Nothobranchius furzeri: one gene and its partner. The protein of the gene in region 1 purifies or fractionates together with the protein of each later gene. This does not show direct contact. Links are inferred from orthologs where the notes say so. Each region holds a gene or a part of one and is shown on either strand. Other genes may lie near its edges.

Evidence for each region. The genes of interacting proteins can lie anywhere in the genome.
Region 2: the proteins of ofd1 (region 1) and cep20 purify together in Homo sapiens (co-immunoprecipitation; 3 studies listed by BioGRID and IntAct, with this or other methods). This does not show direct contact. The link is inferred for Nothobranchius furzeri from reciprocal best matches to the Homo sapiens genes OFD1 and CEP20.

The regions. Positions count from the first base shown.
Region 1 is NC_091754.1:23,212,027-23,219,614, reverse strand, and holds the start of ofd1 (centriole and centriolar satellite protein ofd1), read right to left. Parts: upstream 4,640-7,588; 5' UTR 4,430-4,639; coding exon 4,334-4,429; intron 4,251-4,333; coding exon 4,059-4,250; intron 3,854-4,058; coding exon 3,785-3,853; intron 3,694-3,784; coding exon 3,669-3,693; intron 3,595-3,668; coding exon 3,487-3,594; intron 3,391-3,486; coding exon 3,254-3,390; intron 3,165-3,253; coding exon 2,991-3,164; intron 245-2,990; coding exon 138-244; intron 52-137; coding exon 1-51. Other genes in the region: trappc2 (trafficking protein particle complex subunit 2), read left to right, coding at 5,100-5,192, 5,323-5,471, 5,774-5,855, 5,942-6,040; rab9a (ras-related protein Rab-9A), read right to left, coding at 7,208-7,588. UniProt on the Homo sapiens protein: Component of the centrioles controlling mother and daughter centrioles length. Recruits to the centriole IFT88 and centriole distal appendage-specific proteins including CEP164. Involved in the biogenesis of the cilium, a centriole-associated function.
Region 2 is NC_091746.1:24,771,566-24,779,097, reverse strand, and holds cep20 (centrosomal protein 20), read left to right. Parts: upstream 1-3,305; 5' UTR 3,306-3,387; coding exon 3,388-3,415; intron 3,416-4,041; coding exon 4,042-4,239; intron 4,240-4,884; coding exon 4,885-4,969; intron 4,970-5,253; coding exon 5,254-5,365; 3' UTR 5,366-5,599; downstream 5,600-7,532. Other genes in the region: abcc6a (multidrug resistance-associated protein 1), read left to right, coding at 1,324-1,432. UniProt on the Homo sapiens protein: Involved in the biogenesis of cilia. Required for the recruitment of PLK1 to centrosomes and S phase progression.

The DNA.
Region 1 (7,588 bases):
CTCAGCAGCTCTTCAGTAGTTTGGACCTTCTCTGCTTGAGTTTGACAGGTCCTGGTTTCATGAAAATAAAGATATGCAGAACAAATATAAAAAGGTAAGAAAATGAATTAAATAAAGATGATTAAAAATAATCTTACTGTTCGAAAGCCTCCATTCTCCTCCTCAGCTCGTTCTCTCTGTTATGCACAGACTCGATGTCTTTCAGCACCGCCTGCCTCTGCAGGTAGATATTTTTTTCTTCAATCTAACAAAAAAAGATGAAATTTTCAATCAATCAATGCTAAAAATCCCACTAAAAAGTAACTTTTTAGGACTCATCCTTGACAGCACTCTTTCATTTCAATCCCACATCAGTAACATCACTCGGTCTGCCTACTTTCACCTGCGCAATCGCCTTCGCCCCTCTTTCACCCCCCACTCTGCTTCCAAACTTGTTCACAGCCTCGTCACCTCAAGAATCAACTACTGCAATTCACTCCTCTTTGTTTTACCACAAAAGTCCATCAATAAGCTCCAACTGGTCCAGAACTCTGCTGCACGCATCATTTCTAAACCCCTGTGAGTCACCATATCAGCCCTGTCCTGCAACAGCTTCACTGGCTTCCTGTGAAACTACGCATAGATTTCAAAATCCTTCTCCTCACATTTAAAGCTATCCATAACCCCCCCCCCCCCCCATACCTGTCTGACCTCATTCACATTATCTCTCCCATCTGTTCCCTCAGATCATCATCCTCTGTCACTCTCTCTGTCCCACCTTTCCGTCTCAGCTCTATGGGGAGCAGAGCCCTCAGCAGCTCTACTCCCCGTCTCTGGAATTCTCTCCCTCAACCATCCATAACTCCGACCCGCTCTCCTCCTTTAAATCTGGACTCACAATCCACCTGTTTCAGACTGCTTACTGCTAGTGTCACCTTTTCCATCTTCATTGATTTCATTATCTAGTTTGTATTTTTAAGGCTTCTGTGTGTGATTTTTGCTATTTTTAACTCGGATTCTTTGTTGCTATTTTACTGCTGTAAAGTGTCCTTGAGTCCCTTGAAAGGCGCTTTGAAATAAATGCCTTATTATTACTTTTTATTATTATTATTAGGGGTGTAAGAAAATATCGTTATGGCAATATATCGTGATATTTTTTCCAGCAATATTATATTGATATTCAAAAGCCGTGTATCTAATTTTTGAAAGAATTTACATGCAAACATTTGTGCATTTTCTTTTCGTTTTGTGTAATTCAATCGCCACCCGCTAGTTGGCAACGGGTTTTGTTTCCACCATTGAAATGTAAATCCCTCCATCATGGTTCAGATACCTCATTTTAAACATGTTACGTATCAGTTTGGACTGTTTGTTGAACACTCTTACAATAAATTCAGTAAAAAAAAATAGCTTGTAACGTCTGACTGAATGTATTGCAATATATCACGATGTATCGTATCGTCTCCCCTGTATCGTGATATGTATCATATCGCCAGAATTTCAACAATACACATCCCTGATTATTATTATTACTCATGATACAAGGAGTTTGTCAAATTAGGTAAACAACCTTGGAACACCTCAAGAAGTATCAGCATATATTTTTTACAGGCCATTCTTTGGATGTTTTATTATGTTACTAAAGAGGGATGACGTGTGAGGAGAAATTAAAGCAGCACTAAAGAGTTTTTAATACTTAACTCATTTACTGCCATTGACAACAAAAGTCGTCGTTTGCATTTCTTTTTTTTTACTGGGTGGGCGTCGGAACGAGCCCCCGCAGCGTGGGAACAAACATCAAGGCTCTAAAGCTGAATTTCATCCGCATACGTCACATGTCACGTGATCAGGAAGCAGAAAATCCATGTGTTAGAACAACGTTTTCGGCCGCTGCTGTGAAAAAAGTGAGGCGCAAAGCTTCTGTCGATCACAATTCAACAACGGATTATGAAAGAACGGATAACGCTCGAAACACGCGGATTCTGAGCTACTACAGCAATCGATTTCCCTCTGGGATTAATAAAGTATTTTTGAATTGAACTGAACTGAATTCTTCCTGATGTAAGAAGTGAGCCCACTCTTTGTTTTGGTAGTTTTGGCGTTGACATCATCATATAGCACAATGTTTTGACTCTTCAAAAAACAGAAAAAAAAAAAACCACAGAAAAACACTGGCAACGTGAGGCTTTTCCGATCAGGAAACGGCTGGCAGTTAACGAGTTAAACTATTGCTTTCAAACTGGTTTCAGTCGTGAACCAGAGTGAACATCGGCATGGCCCACATCAGTTTGAGCAAGCTAAAGGTTACGAAATCACGGACTGATGGTGACCTGGCTTTGTTGATACTGGACTTGTAAGTTATATATTTTTTGTCCAACAGCGTGGACCTTTTTGCTTTGTGGCTTATTTTAGTAGTTATTAGCTCGTGTTAGCATTAGCTCATTAGCACTAGCTAAAGCAGCCAGGGTTATTTACAACACTTGTAATTCTGTTTTCAACCAGTAGGAGGGAGGATTAGGAAAATTTATTTAGTGATGCTAGGTAGAAAACTCAAATGAGGGGTGTTAAGTGACCCTGCACACAACTGCTCTTTGTTAAAAGCCAAACACATTAAAACCATTTTGTTTAACCCCCCCAAACCCAAAAGTCTTAAATGTTAGCAATATTGTATTTATTTTCATGTAAGCACTGATATAATCAGAACATTTAAAAACATTTAAGAATTGTTTAGTTTTAACATAAAATCAGAATTTTTCTGTTGTTTATTTTGCTTTGTTTCTGACTTGGAAATTATATTTAACCAGAAAATCAAGTATCTGAAGTATTTTAATGACACTTTTTGAGGTCTATTCATGATGCTTTTGTTTTAATAAATGAAAACATGATGATGCTGTATGTTTTGCAAGAAACACAAAGCACTGCAGTAAGCAGTGCAATGATAAAAAGTGTATGAAAATAGGAAAAACGTTTTCCAAGCAAACAAACGTCCCTAAATAATAGCAAATTTTCACCTCTTGCTGTTTTTGCAGCCGATCAATCGCATTTTTCTCTCTCTCCATCAGCACCGTTGTCTTCATTTCATAATTCCTCTCCAGTTCTTGCTTCAGACGATCAAATTCTTTATGAAACTTTGATTTTTCTTCCATTCTCACCTTAGCAATCTCCACTTCTTTAAAATGCTGCAGCTAATACAAGAAAGAAAACATTAAAGTAGATTAACACAACACAAACATCTGATGATTAATCCTCATTACAGGAGTTTGTGAGCACAAACCTTTGTGTTCATTTCTGCTTCCATCTGTGCTTCTGTCTCTTTTCTATATGCAGCCAGTTTTGATTGAAAGGGAAAGATTCTGTCATCACTGAAACTAACGCTCTCATATTCCTTATCGATCATTTTCATCTTTTCGACTGAGTGCAAAGAAAACGAGGAAAGTAAAATTTATTTGCTTCAGGCTACAAGATAGAAATCAAAACAGCGTAATTTCAAACAGCAGTCCTTCATACCAAGAGACTCTCCGTAACTCGATAAGCTGGTTGTCTGAGTTTCCACATCATGACAGAGGCTGGGATGGTAATCATTTGTCAGATGTTTTAAAAGGCTGAACAGAAATCCTGCAGGACATAACCACAATATCAAAATCAAAACAAAACTATCACTTTTATAAAGAAAGTATATTAAAACATACCTTTATCATTGATTTCTGTATTTACCTAGCAAAAAATATAAATATATATTTTATTAAAATTTTGCTCAATTTAGATTAGAATTTACTGGCCCTGTAGAGCAGGTGACATTATTCACCATGGAGGAGTAGTGGGGTGATGCAGGGTGGATTTTAAGAATCTGAAGAAGGCCGTCTCTCTTTAAAATCTGTACAAAATAAACATAAACAAACACCTGTATCTGTGTTTATGTATTTAGTAGATCAACAAACACTATTCAGCCAATCCTTGGTGGCAGTGAGGCAGCATAATGAATAATAAAAATAATAATAATATCATAATAATAATAATAAATGTGTATCTACAGGGAATATATTTAAACTTCGTAAGGGGACATAAATAAAGTCACACACCTTGTCCTTACTTAACCCACATTCAGGGTAGAACACAGAAAGAGTGTATTCATATCCTGACGCAACGAGATGATTTGACACGATGCTGTTACAGGCTAAAAGTAAAAGAGGCTCATCTGTGTCCGGTACCGGTCTGGGAGCTGGTTCCTGTGAACATTTTAACTCCTGGATGAGCTGATTACGCAGCTGCACCTGGGGATAAAACAAGTGAATGACAACGTAGCTTCTAATGCCAAGTTGGGCTAAAAAGGTTTAAACAAGGATATTTAGCTTACTTTGAGGGTATCAAGCACTCCTCTGTTTTTAAAAGTCTGATAAAGCCTTTTCCTCAGCTCTTCTGGGGACAACCCATCTTCCTTCGATGAAGACATAACTGCAGGGCTTCGCAGATAAATATCCACACAGCTGTGCACGTTAACGGAATAAATATTTCACCCAAAACAACTTTAAAAGTTTTGGCTATTACGTAGATTACAATTCTCGATCTATCAAGAAAAATTTATATCCAAAAAAATGATGAATGTTTGCCATTAAGCGGCCCGACGAGCAGAAGCGTATGCAAAGCATTTTAAAATTTACCAACCGACACGGGCGCACAAATATGACGTAACAAATATTGGTTAGTGAAAAAAAATGGTATTGTAAAATTTTTACAACATAATAGTAAATACACGTTATTTTGATAATATTCTAAAAAAAAATCTAAAATAATAAAGTCCTCGTGAAACATTCTTTTTTTCTTACTTATACTGTCGTCATCTTCATGCGACTGAAGTTTTAGTCTTCCAGGAAGCGACTCTAAAAGGTAAACAAAAATCGGTTAATCTTGAAATGTAGCTTTGCTTGCTCTATATTTTTCTCTCTTGTGTATGTTTTTCTTTTAAAGTCATTTTTATTACTGAACAACATTATTCTGTTAACCCGTTTGCTAAAAATTAGCCATCTAGCAACTAGCTTCTCTAATGTTTGTTATTTAACCATATATGTTTGTCTTTAATCGACTGCAGGTAACGTTTGATTTGATAAAAGGAGATCTAAACGATGTCGGGAAGTTTTTATTTTGTTATGGTTGGTCATCATGACAATCCTGTGTTTGAGATGGAGTTTTTGCCATCTGGGAAGCCTGAATCAAAGGTACTTCTGCTCAACTGATCATAATAAACTGTTAAAGTGACTTAATTGTGGGAAAATTGCACACACATATTAATCATAACTACGTTAATTAAATGTATTATCTTGAAATTATTTCTTTCTGTGACTACAGGATGATCACCGTCACCTGAACCAGTTCATTGCACACGCAGCGCTAGATTTGGTGGATGAAAACATGTGGCTGTCCAATAGTATGTACCTGAAAACTGTGGACAAGTTTAACGAGTGGTTTGTGTCTGCATTCGTCACAGCAGGACATATCCTTTTTGTGTTTTTTCTCTTAATTATTTTGTTTCTGTTTTAAAAACAACTGGAAAACGTTGAAATGTGATTGTACAACATAGAAATGTGTTATGTGAAACCACGTTTAAAGGCATAAAGAGTCTTATTTTTCCTAATAAAAGAAAAGTTATTCCCAGAATGTGATGGGCTGATTGATTTCTAGTTTCTTTAAAATAAACTACTTCATTATTGTAAACAATAAATATTCATCACTTTTTCATACTCATTCACATGTATTACTCTTGTAAGCTTTATATTCCTTAAATACCTGCCATACATATAAGGTTCATCATGCTGCATGATGTTCGACAAGAAGATGGAATCAAAAACTTTTTTAATGATGTGTATGACTTATACATTAAGGTGCGCCGTGCTTCATGTTTATAAAAAATCACTAATATGTTCTCCTGATCATTTGATATTTACTATTTTCTTTGTTTTTTCCTCAGTTTGCAATGAACCCCTTCTATGAAATCAATGCACCAATCCGCTCGACGGCGTTTGAGAGGAAGGTCCAGTTCCTTGGAAAGAAACATCTCCTGAGTTAATCGCTTTGAGCGGATTCAGTGTGACATTCATCTTTTTGTCGTTTTCCTTTTGTGCAAAACTTGTGTAAAAATGTTATTGTCAAAGTTGTGGCTACAACTATCTTTTGTTCATTTTTATTAAATTCTGACTCTTTGAACCTCTGACATTAGATCACTAGTTCTTCATGAGGAATGCTCTGTATCATGTCGGTGCTTACAGAGCAGAGTACCAAGACAAGTTCTTGATTATCCTTAGAACAATTAAATGAGTCATTATTTAGTTATCAGGCCACAAAACAAGCTAATCAGACAGTTATGAGGGTGTTTATTTGTCATTTAGTATATCAAGCTGACAACTTTATACATAACTAAAATGAGAAACAGTTAAGGTAAATAACTGGTTCACTTTCCAATCAAGTTGTAGCTCAAGTCTTCCAATTTGCATATATGACAAGAGTGCGGTTGGATTATTTTTAAATAATACAGCATTGAACAATGACATACGGTCACTACTTCATCACACTTTCATTAGAAGAAAAAGCTCCATAGTGCTTAGTCTTTTTATTTTTTGAAATGTTAGAAAAATAAATATAAAATGCAATTAAAAAGGCCATGCACAAAACATTTGGTGTTTATTTCTTGTATGGGGAATATGTCTTCATTTTTCTAACATAAAGCATCAATTGACATGCATAACATACAGACAAAACCTAATGTAGTCAATTCATACCTTTTAATGAACTGAAACTGGCTCACTGGCTTCTACAAATAATGTTTTACTTTGCAATTCAATGTTAATTATGTAAATATATGATTACCTGCTCCACAATGACATTTCAAGCATGAAGATCAAATTAAATAATCACACTTGTTGAATGTTTAACATCTGAACACAGAATGTACTTATTTTAAGAGGGATGTGAATCCTTTTTATGGTCAAACCTTCGGCCGACCCCAGTAGTTTTTAAAATGGAGCGAAACTAAATCAACAAGTTAGTGCTTTGAGTTTGTTAATAGACAGATTAATTTAGTGTTTGCTTTTCTGTTTGTTTTGGCAGAAGTCCAACAATGATCACCAAACCTTAAAAAAAATAATCAAAAGTGTTAGTAGCATAGTTTGTTACTACAGCAGTGTACGCCTACAGTCTCATGGCGTAACAGGGGTTTATTAGTGAAAGCTTCTGGATGTTAAGAACAGCAAGTGGTGGCAGAACGAGGCTTTCTGTGGAGCCTGACTGTGTCCGTGGAGATGAGGTAGTCTGTTTTGTCATCCATTGCTAACACTCTATGCACTGCTTCCTCAAATGCCACTGCTACATTAGTGGCATCCTTGGCACTGGTCTCATAATACGGGTAGTCCCCATTCTCCTGGCACCACTCCCGAGCCTCCTCCGAAGACACCTGCCTCTCAGCCACATCCACTTTGTTGCCCAAAACCACAAATGGAAACTTTTCCGGCTCCTTGATGTCGGCGTAGTAGATGAACTCTTTTTTCCAGTTGCTCAGGTTGAGAAAACTCTGGCTGTCGTCAACGCTGAAAGTGAGCAAGCAGCAATCAGAGCCACGGTA
Region 2 (7,532 bases), on another chromosome or scaffold:
CGGGTTGGTTCTGGAGATGACGGAATGTGGAGAGAAGCCTGAAGGAGAGCAGGGAAGGACATTCAGGGATTTTTCCGGCGGCAGGTTAACTGGAACGAGATACAAGTACGAGACAGGTTAGAGACTAGAGCTACCCAAACAGAGCAATCATTGTACAATGATTTGAGAAGGTCCCTGTTTGAAACGATCAAGCATAAAAATCCAGATTTGTTCTGGTTATCAGAAGGTGATATGTTAAAGAGCAAGTCGCCCATAAATCAACTTATTTTTTCTGATAAACTATATAAATGTGTGTCTAATCGTGCTGCAGACACGTGTAGTCAATAGTTTAGCACTTTAGTGCATTTTAGTTCAAATGTTAATTTTCTGCCTAAAACTGTCAGTGTTGTGCCGTTGTCAGGTAAAAACTCTGCAGTTGAATTTAAATCTGCCATCGCTATTGGCTAAGAGGTACCCTAGAACGTTAGCTGGTACCATATGATGTCACAATGTCGTTGTGAGCCTGTCTGTGTATTTGTTAGCGGCTCCGCCCTCTCGGTCTGCCAGGCAACAGCATTTGTTGCATTTTTCAAACAGGAAGTGGGAGTGGAGTAAGACTCTGGTAGGGGGTGACTTGCTCTTTAAGTTGGCTTTTTAACAAAGGAACTGTTGTCCTGGTTAAAATTAAAGAAAGAGCTTGCCTATGGAGACGATCTGGACTTTATCCTGTCGCGTGAGCTCTTGTTTTGTAAATGTACGGCCATCTATGGTTTTATTGTTTGTTTACGGTGTCGTATAAGCCCGTGGGGCTGGGCACATGTTGTGCATGACAATTTAAGTAAAATTTATCTAACAACGAGAAATGAGAAACCACCCACAGCTTCTATACATGAGTCCACAATACACACAGTAATGTTTACCAGTGATGCACATCAAAGGTTCTGGAGCACTATATCAGTGTTTTATTATTATTATTTAGCTCATCCAGCTAAAAAAAAGGGCAAAACTAATTTTCTCAGTGCATTTTGTACCCCATTTTTATCCAGATGCAGGAGCTGATAGCTGATGAGTTTAGTGGTAAGAATAAAAGCTGACAAGGCAATGAAAATGAAAAGTTAAATACTTCAAAGACAAAAAGTGATTTCCAAGAAAAACTTAAATTTTTAAGGGGAAAATCCTAAAATACGATATTAATGCATCTGTTTAATATAGGATTTGAGCCTTGTTTAAAAAAAATACCTTTTTACCAAATATCTCATCTACACATCCCAGTAAACCTGAAACCTAGGCATCACCGCTTAGGCAAACTGCACCTAAAGCCTGTTTTTATTCGCTGTGTTGCAGAGTGATCGTCATGGACAGAGGCAACGTTTGTGAGATGGACTCTCCGGCCAACCTCATCTCACAGCGAGGACAGTTTTACAGGATGTGCCTTGAAGCGGGGCTGGTCTAGCTCTCTTAAATGGGGCTTGAATCAGAGGACTGGGGATCTGCTGTACAGATGTGGCACCTTTTCCACGTGTGGCTCGTCAACACATATTAAGTTGGGCTCTTTTGAGCTTTTGAGGCGTCCCAAAACTCTCTCCGTGAGGGCATTGTTGAGGAATTTCAAGAGCAGCTGCTGACGCATGACTTTTATTGAAAAACACACAAAGACACCTTGTCCTCGTGCAGGAAAAGACACTTCGGAAGATGAACACTCAAAAATGAAGCTATGTTTTAATGTTGAGTCTTAAAGCTACAAATGTAAATAGAGCAATGAAGTCATGTTTTCTGTAAAGGCTAAGAACTACAAGAGATCCACAAATCTCTTTAGGGACGGACGTTGTTTTATTTTTACAGTTTTTGTGTGTATTTGTCGATAAAGCACGGTGCATTTTCTGATGTTGTCTCAGGCTTAGACATGTTTACTTACACTTTTTAGCCTTGTACACAAAAAAGAAGAGGCACTTTTATACTTGCAAATTGATAGAAGTCTATTTTTATTCTCATCCCAAAAATTGGGACATGAAATATTCTGACACAAAAACCTTGAAAGGTTCATGCTGGTGAATTCAGGGAAAATGTGTGTGTGTGTGTGTTTTTTTAATGCAGACTTTTAAAATTTGAACACGAGGCCATTTTTAAATGTCAGGGAGGTGGAGGAAAACATTGAAGTAAGCCAAGACATTAGCAATCGTCCAACTATGTTGTGGCTATTGTTTATTTCTGTCAAAGTAAACACATAAAAAAGTCAATGGAGACGTTGCTGGTCAGCTTTAACCTGACACCGGTAGTGAAAACCACCATGAATGAGGAGAACGCCTCTTAAAAACAATGGTGATAAATCTCTACGGGATTGTCTCTGCGCCTTCACCACACAATCTCAGGCCATACCATAGACAGAGAGGAGAAAAAATCTGTATTTTTCTTATGGTGTTGACATGACAGACTGTAAATAGTCCACATGAAGCTTTAGTGTCAATTCAGAGAAAGAACTCTATGAACTTTCTGGAGAGGGGGAGTGTTTACTGTTTTTGTCTTACTGGTTTAGACAATATATTTTAAGAGAAACCCAAGTGTTTATTTATGTCTTTATGACAAAATGTATTAAATGTCCTTGAAATTCTGAGGATTATATTTATACTTTTTATAACAAGCTTGATTATTTTCACTGACCTTTGACGTTAATGTACTGTCTTGATCAATGCTGGAAAATAAAGTGTATTTGAATCTGTGGTTATTTTTGATTTTGAGTCATTTAGTTTATAGAATTGGTCAAATTCATTGTTTTTTATACAGATAAGTTTCAATAAGTCTGAAGTTGGTTAAGGTTTAAAGTGTTCTGTGCAGTCAAAGGCTCCAGAAAAATGTCTGAACAGACTCATGAGCCCAAAGGATCAAAGGGGGCACTGCTATTCCAATAATACATTTATTTTAAATTGCATGCACACGAATGGGCTCATAAAGAAGACATGAAGAGAAGCAGAAACATAAGACAAATGCGTTGGAGGGAAATTTCTCCAAAACATTTTACAGCGAGACACTGAAGTGATTCCACTCAGCAGACAAATGAGATTAAAAGTCATAAAAACGACCTTCAAAACTTGGCTGTTACAAGTAAAGACAAAAATAAGACAAAGAGTAAAAGAGATCATAAATACCGCAGGAAGTTGCAAAATACCTGATGAAATCCTAACTAATTAAGCCCAAAGTTCATGCTGAATATATGGGTGAACGTTCTTACCTGAAAAGGTGAGGTGCACCAACTTCTACTTCTCAGACTCTGCAGGTAAAGCTATGAAATGTTTGGAGGAAAACAAACACCTGTTTGGAGGCGTTGCGGGCCATTGAGGTTGTAGTTTCAACAAGCAGCCGCTAGATGGAAGACGTTAGCCCATAAACGGATTGTTTACATCACTTGTTGCAATGGCGACCATGTCTGAGCTAAAGAGTGGTAAGAGCTCACTCACTATATCGTTTTTCTTTCCTCAATCAAAAATCTTTACACAATTTCGCTTTATATTATGATAAATTTGTCAACGTTTTAGCTAACAACACAGCGTCTTCCAGCAATCTCCCATAATACAAATGTGCTAAATAAGTGGAAATGATTTTTCAGAAAAGCACACTTGCTCAATGTTTCCTGGGTTTTTATGTATTAGAATGTGCGTTTCATTCGTTAAAGCTAAATAAGACGTTTTAAACTATTTTAGCTTAGCTCGTGTTTCTTTTTGTCCACTAGCTGATGTTGGATACCCACAAGTTAGCCAGATTAGCTAGATTAGCTAGCTGGTTGTGGGGATAATAATACAACGGAAAAGTAAAAGTTGTTACATTCTATGACGATTGAAACTGTGGGTATTTTAGAGGTATGGACAATAGTATGAGCTATATTATAAAAGATTTAGCCTAAAAATCTTTAAGTAAATGTGAAATTCACATATAATTGAGTGAGGTTTGGTGTGTTGCTAAGATACATGATCTTTGGGGTTTACAAGCGACTCCCCCACACACGTACTCCTTACCATTGGCTGCCTGCTAAATTAATGTGTTATAATACAGATGTTTTATTGTTTTCAGCCGTGAGGGAAACCCTGGAGTCACGTGGCGTGCTGGGTCAGCTGAAGGCTCGTATCCGGGCGGAAGTGTTCAGCGCCCTGGATGACCAGCGTGAACCGCGGCCTCCTCTGTCTCACGAAAACCTGCTCATTAACGAACTCATCCGGGAGTACCTGGAGTTCAACAAGTACAGGTACACAGCGTCAGTGCTGACAGCAGGTGTGTGAATCAATTAGTCACCGTTTTTATGGCAGCAGTATACGTTTAAATGTAAACAAATGCTCTCCAGGTCAAGACTGATCACTTATGATGAAGATAAATGACCTGCACTTGTAGAGCGCTTTTCAGAGTCAGAGGACTCTAAAGCAATTTCCACAACAGTGTATCATTCATCCATTCACACACGGATGGTGATGAGCTACACTGTAGCCACAGCTGCCTTGATGCAGAAAAAGGCTTTGGTGCCATTTCAGATCCCACAGTGTGTCAGTGGGACAGCAGTAGCTCAACAGGTTGAGCAGGTTGTCCAGTAATCTGAAGGTTGCAGGTTCAATCCCGGCTCCGGTCAGAGAATTTTGCTGTTGTGTCCTTGGGCAAGACACTTAACCCACCTTGCCTGCTGGTGGTGGTCGGAGGGACCCGTGGCGCCTGTGCTCGGCAGCCTCGCCTCTGTCAGTGCGCCCCAGGGCAGCTGTGGCTACATCGCAGCTCATCACCATCAGTGTGTGAATGGATGAATGATACACTGTAGTGTAAAGCGCTTTGGAGTCCTTACTCTGAGAGGCGCCATACAAGTGCAGGTCATTTATCAGTATCAGTGTAACCACCCAGAGGACTTCTTCTCAGCATCGTTTGTTTTCTCAGAGTCGGGCCAGCCCGAGGCTTCCTTGGACAGACAGTTTCTGGCCAATGAGATGAAAATCACAGAGGATCCCAGCTCTAAGACAGTGTAAGTGTCAGGAGTGGGAAAATCCCAGCACAGTCTGGTGTTGATAACAGTGTTCAGTGATTTACCGAACGCTTGTGTTTAACCAGTGTGGCGATCATTGTTTTGTAATGACATAGTCATTTTGAATGGTTGTCTCTGATTGTGTAAAATATGACACGTGTTAGTGTTTTGCTTTCACCTCGTCACCATAACAAAACTGAGAAAAACTGGGAAACAAGCAACAGGCTCAGTTCCTGCCTGAGAAAAATAAAAATGTGTCAATGTGCTTTCATATTTCCTTGCAGGCCTCTTCTCTATGGATTGGTGTCTCACTTTCTGAATAGTGGTGATAACAGAGGGAAGGTTCTTCTTCGTGGTCCTGCTGTGACTAACGCAGCTCCTGAACATGATGCGTGACATGTGGGGGATGTTCTGGTGACTTGCGATGCTTCTGGACTGAATCAGGCTTTGTTTGGCTCTTATGTAGAGAATAAGAAATCCCACAGAATCGGACTGAACTCGGCTTGTTGTCTGTCGCTGGTATTATTCCACAAAGCCTCAGTGAAGTGTGAAATCCAGGGACAATAAAGTGTGGCCATATTTGTTGTCTTTTTATACTGTTGATAATAAAAGTTTTATTTATACCCTTTACGAATCTGTGAAAGTGTTTTTTTACACCACAAGATGGCAGTGTCTGCCCAACAAAAGCTAAATCTGGTCAAGCGACGCCTATTCAGTTTGTAGGATGAATGCAGCTTTAATTCCTTTCAAATTTCTAAAACTGATTGATTTTAAGACTTTTTGTCCTTTGCACTTGCATTGGTTTATTCTTTTGTTTGATTTTATAAAAATGTCCTCATCAAGGGGATCCGTTTTGATGGCCTGAAGATCAGGCCTCTGCTTTTTGCAGATGATGTGAACCTGCTGGTTTCATAAGGCTGTGATCTCCAACTTTCACTGGAGCGGTGTGAAGCAGCTGGGATGAGAATGCACTCCTCGAAACCCGAGACCAGGGTCTTGAGTCGGAAAAGGGTAGAATGCCTTCTCCAGGTCAGAGACGAGTTCCTGTTCCGAGTGGAGAAGTTTAAGCATCTTGGGGTCTTGTTCACGAGTGAGGGAGAGATGAAACGCGAGATCGACAAGCGGCCAAAATGAGTTTTCTCCGCCGGGTGACTGGGCTCTCCCTGAGAGATCGGGTGAGAAGCTCGGTGATCCAGGAGGGGCTCGGAGTAGACCCGCTGCTCCTCCACATTGAGAGGAGCCAGGTGAGGTGGCTCGGGCATCTAGTCAGGACGCCTCCCTGGAGAGGCACGTCCAGCTGGGAGGAGACCCAAGGGAAGACCCAGGACACGCTGGAGGGACTATGTCTCTTGGCTGGCAAGGGAACACCTAAGGATTCCCCTGGAGGAGCTGGCCCAAGTGGCTGGGGAGAGGGAAGTCTGGGCCTCCCTGCTTAAGCTGTTGGCCCCAGGAACTGACGTTGGATAAGTGGAGAAAAATGGGCGGGCCTCGTCACCATTAGGATGTTTAGTCTCACGTTGCAGATAAATCTCTTGCTCATTAATCATCACCCTGACCCATCAGCACAGCTACTCTACTGAGGGATACTAGTGTTCCCACGTAAACAAATGCTTCACATTGATTCTGATCGTCAGCATTTCCCTTCAAGCTTGAGTGACAGCTGCATAAACGCGTCCTTCCCTGCAGCAGAGAGAAGTCATGTTTACCCCTGGGCTCAGATCAGGATGCGATCGCATTCCAGGAGGGTCAGATGTATCCATAAACATGTAATCGCTCCAACAGACATCCATCTATGGACATGAAGGAGAAGACAATGAAACTAGGAGAAATGTGCTGTTTGTAAAAGGTTTCTTCGTGTTGCTCCACGTATAAAACTCTTACTATCAGCTCATTTAGTTTGAATAAATGCAAATGGGCATGATTTAGTTTACTTTACTTTATTTGACTGTTTTATGAGGCCTGAAGCTGGAACTGTACCAGTGGGACTGGCCCACTACTGCTTTTTAACGCTCACTCCCACCGTCTCCTCATAACTTCACAAACGTTTCCTAGCTTTGAGGAACTGGTTGAACCTTTTCTCTGGTTCATACTTAGGTATGGAAAACGTCCAGCCAAAGTCAACACACACGTCTCCTCGCTGGCGTCCCGGATCGATCACGGTTATAATAGTATTGGAACAGCTATTTTCATGGATCACGTTTGTCTCATTTCTGTATCTCGTCTGCAATCAGTTCATCAGATCCTTCATTCTTTCACGTTCCTTTCTCATCCCAACGGCTGCCAGATTCACCTGCCACTGCTCAGCGCTTGTAAATAATAAGAGTTATTCCCGCAGGGACAACTTTGTTTGAACAATGCCGTTGCTGTTGGACCATATTTAGTCACCGAGGCCCGGTGTTGTTGCTTGTAGACTCTGAGAGTAACACAAAGCGGCTGAGATTCCACTCTCCTTATATGGAACCCACTTCAGCCTCGCCACTGCTTTCTTTTCCTCCTCCTCCTCCTCCATCCTGCCTCATCTGAGTTCTTCAACCTGAGCACCTCCCTCAGGAGCAACGCTCCA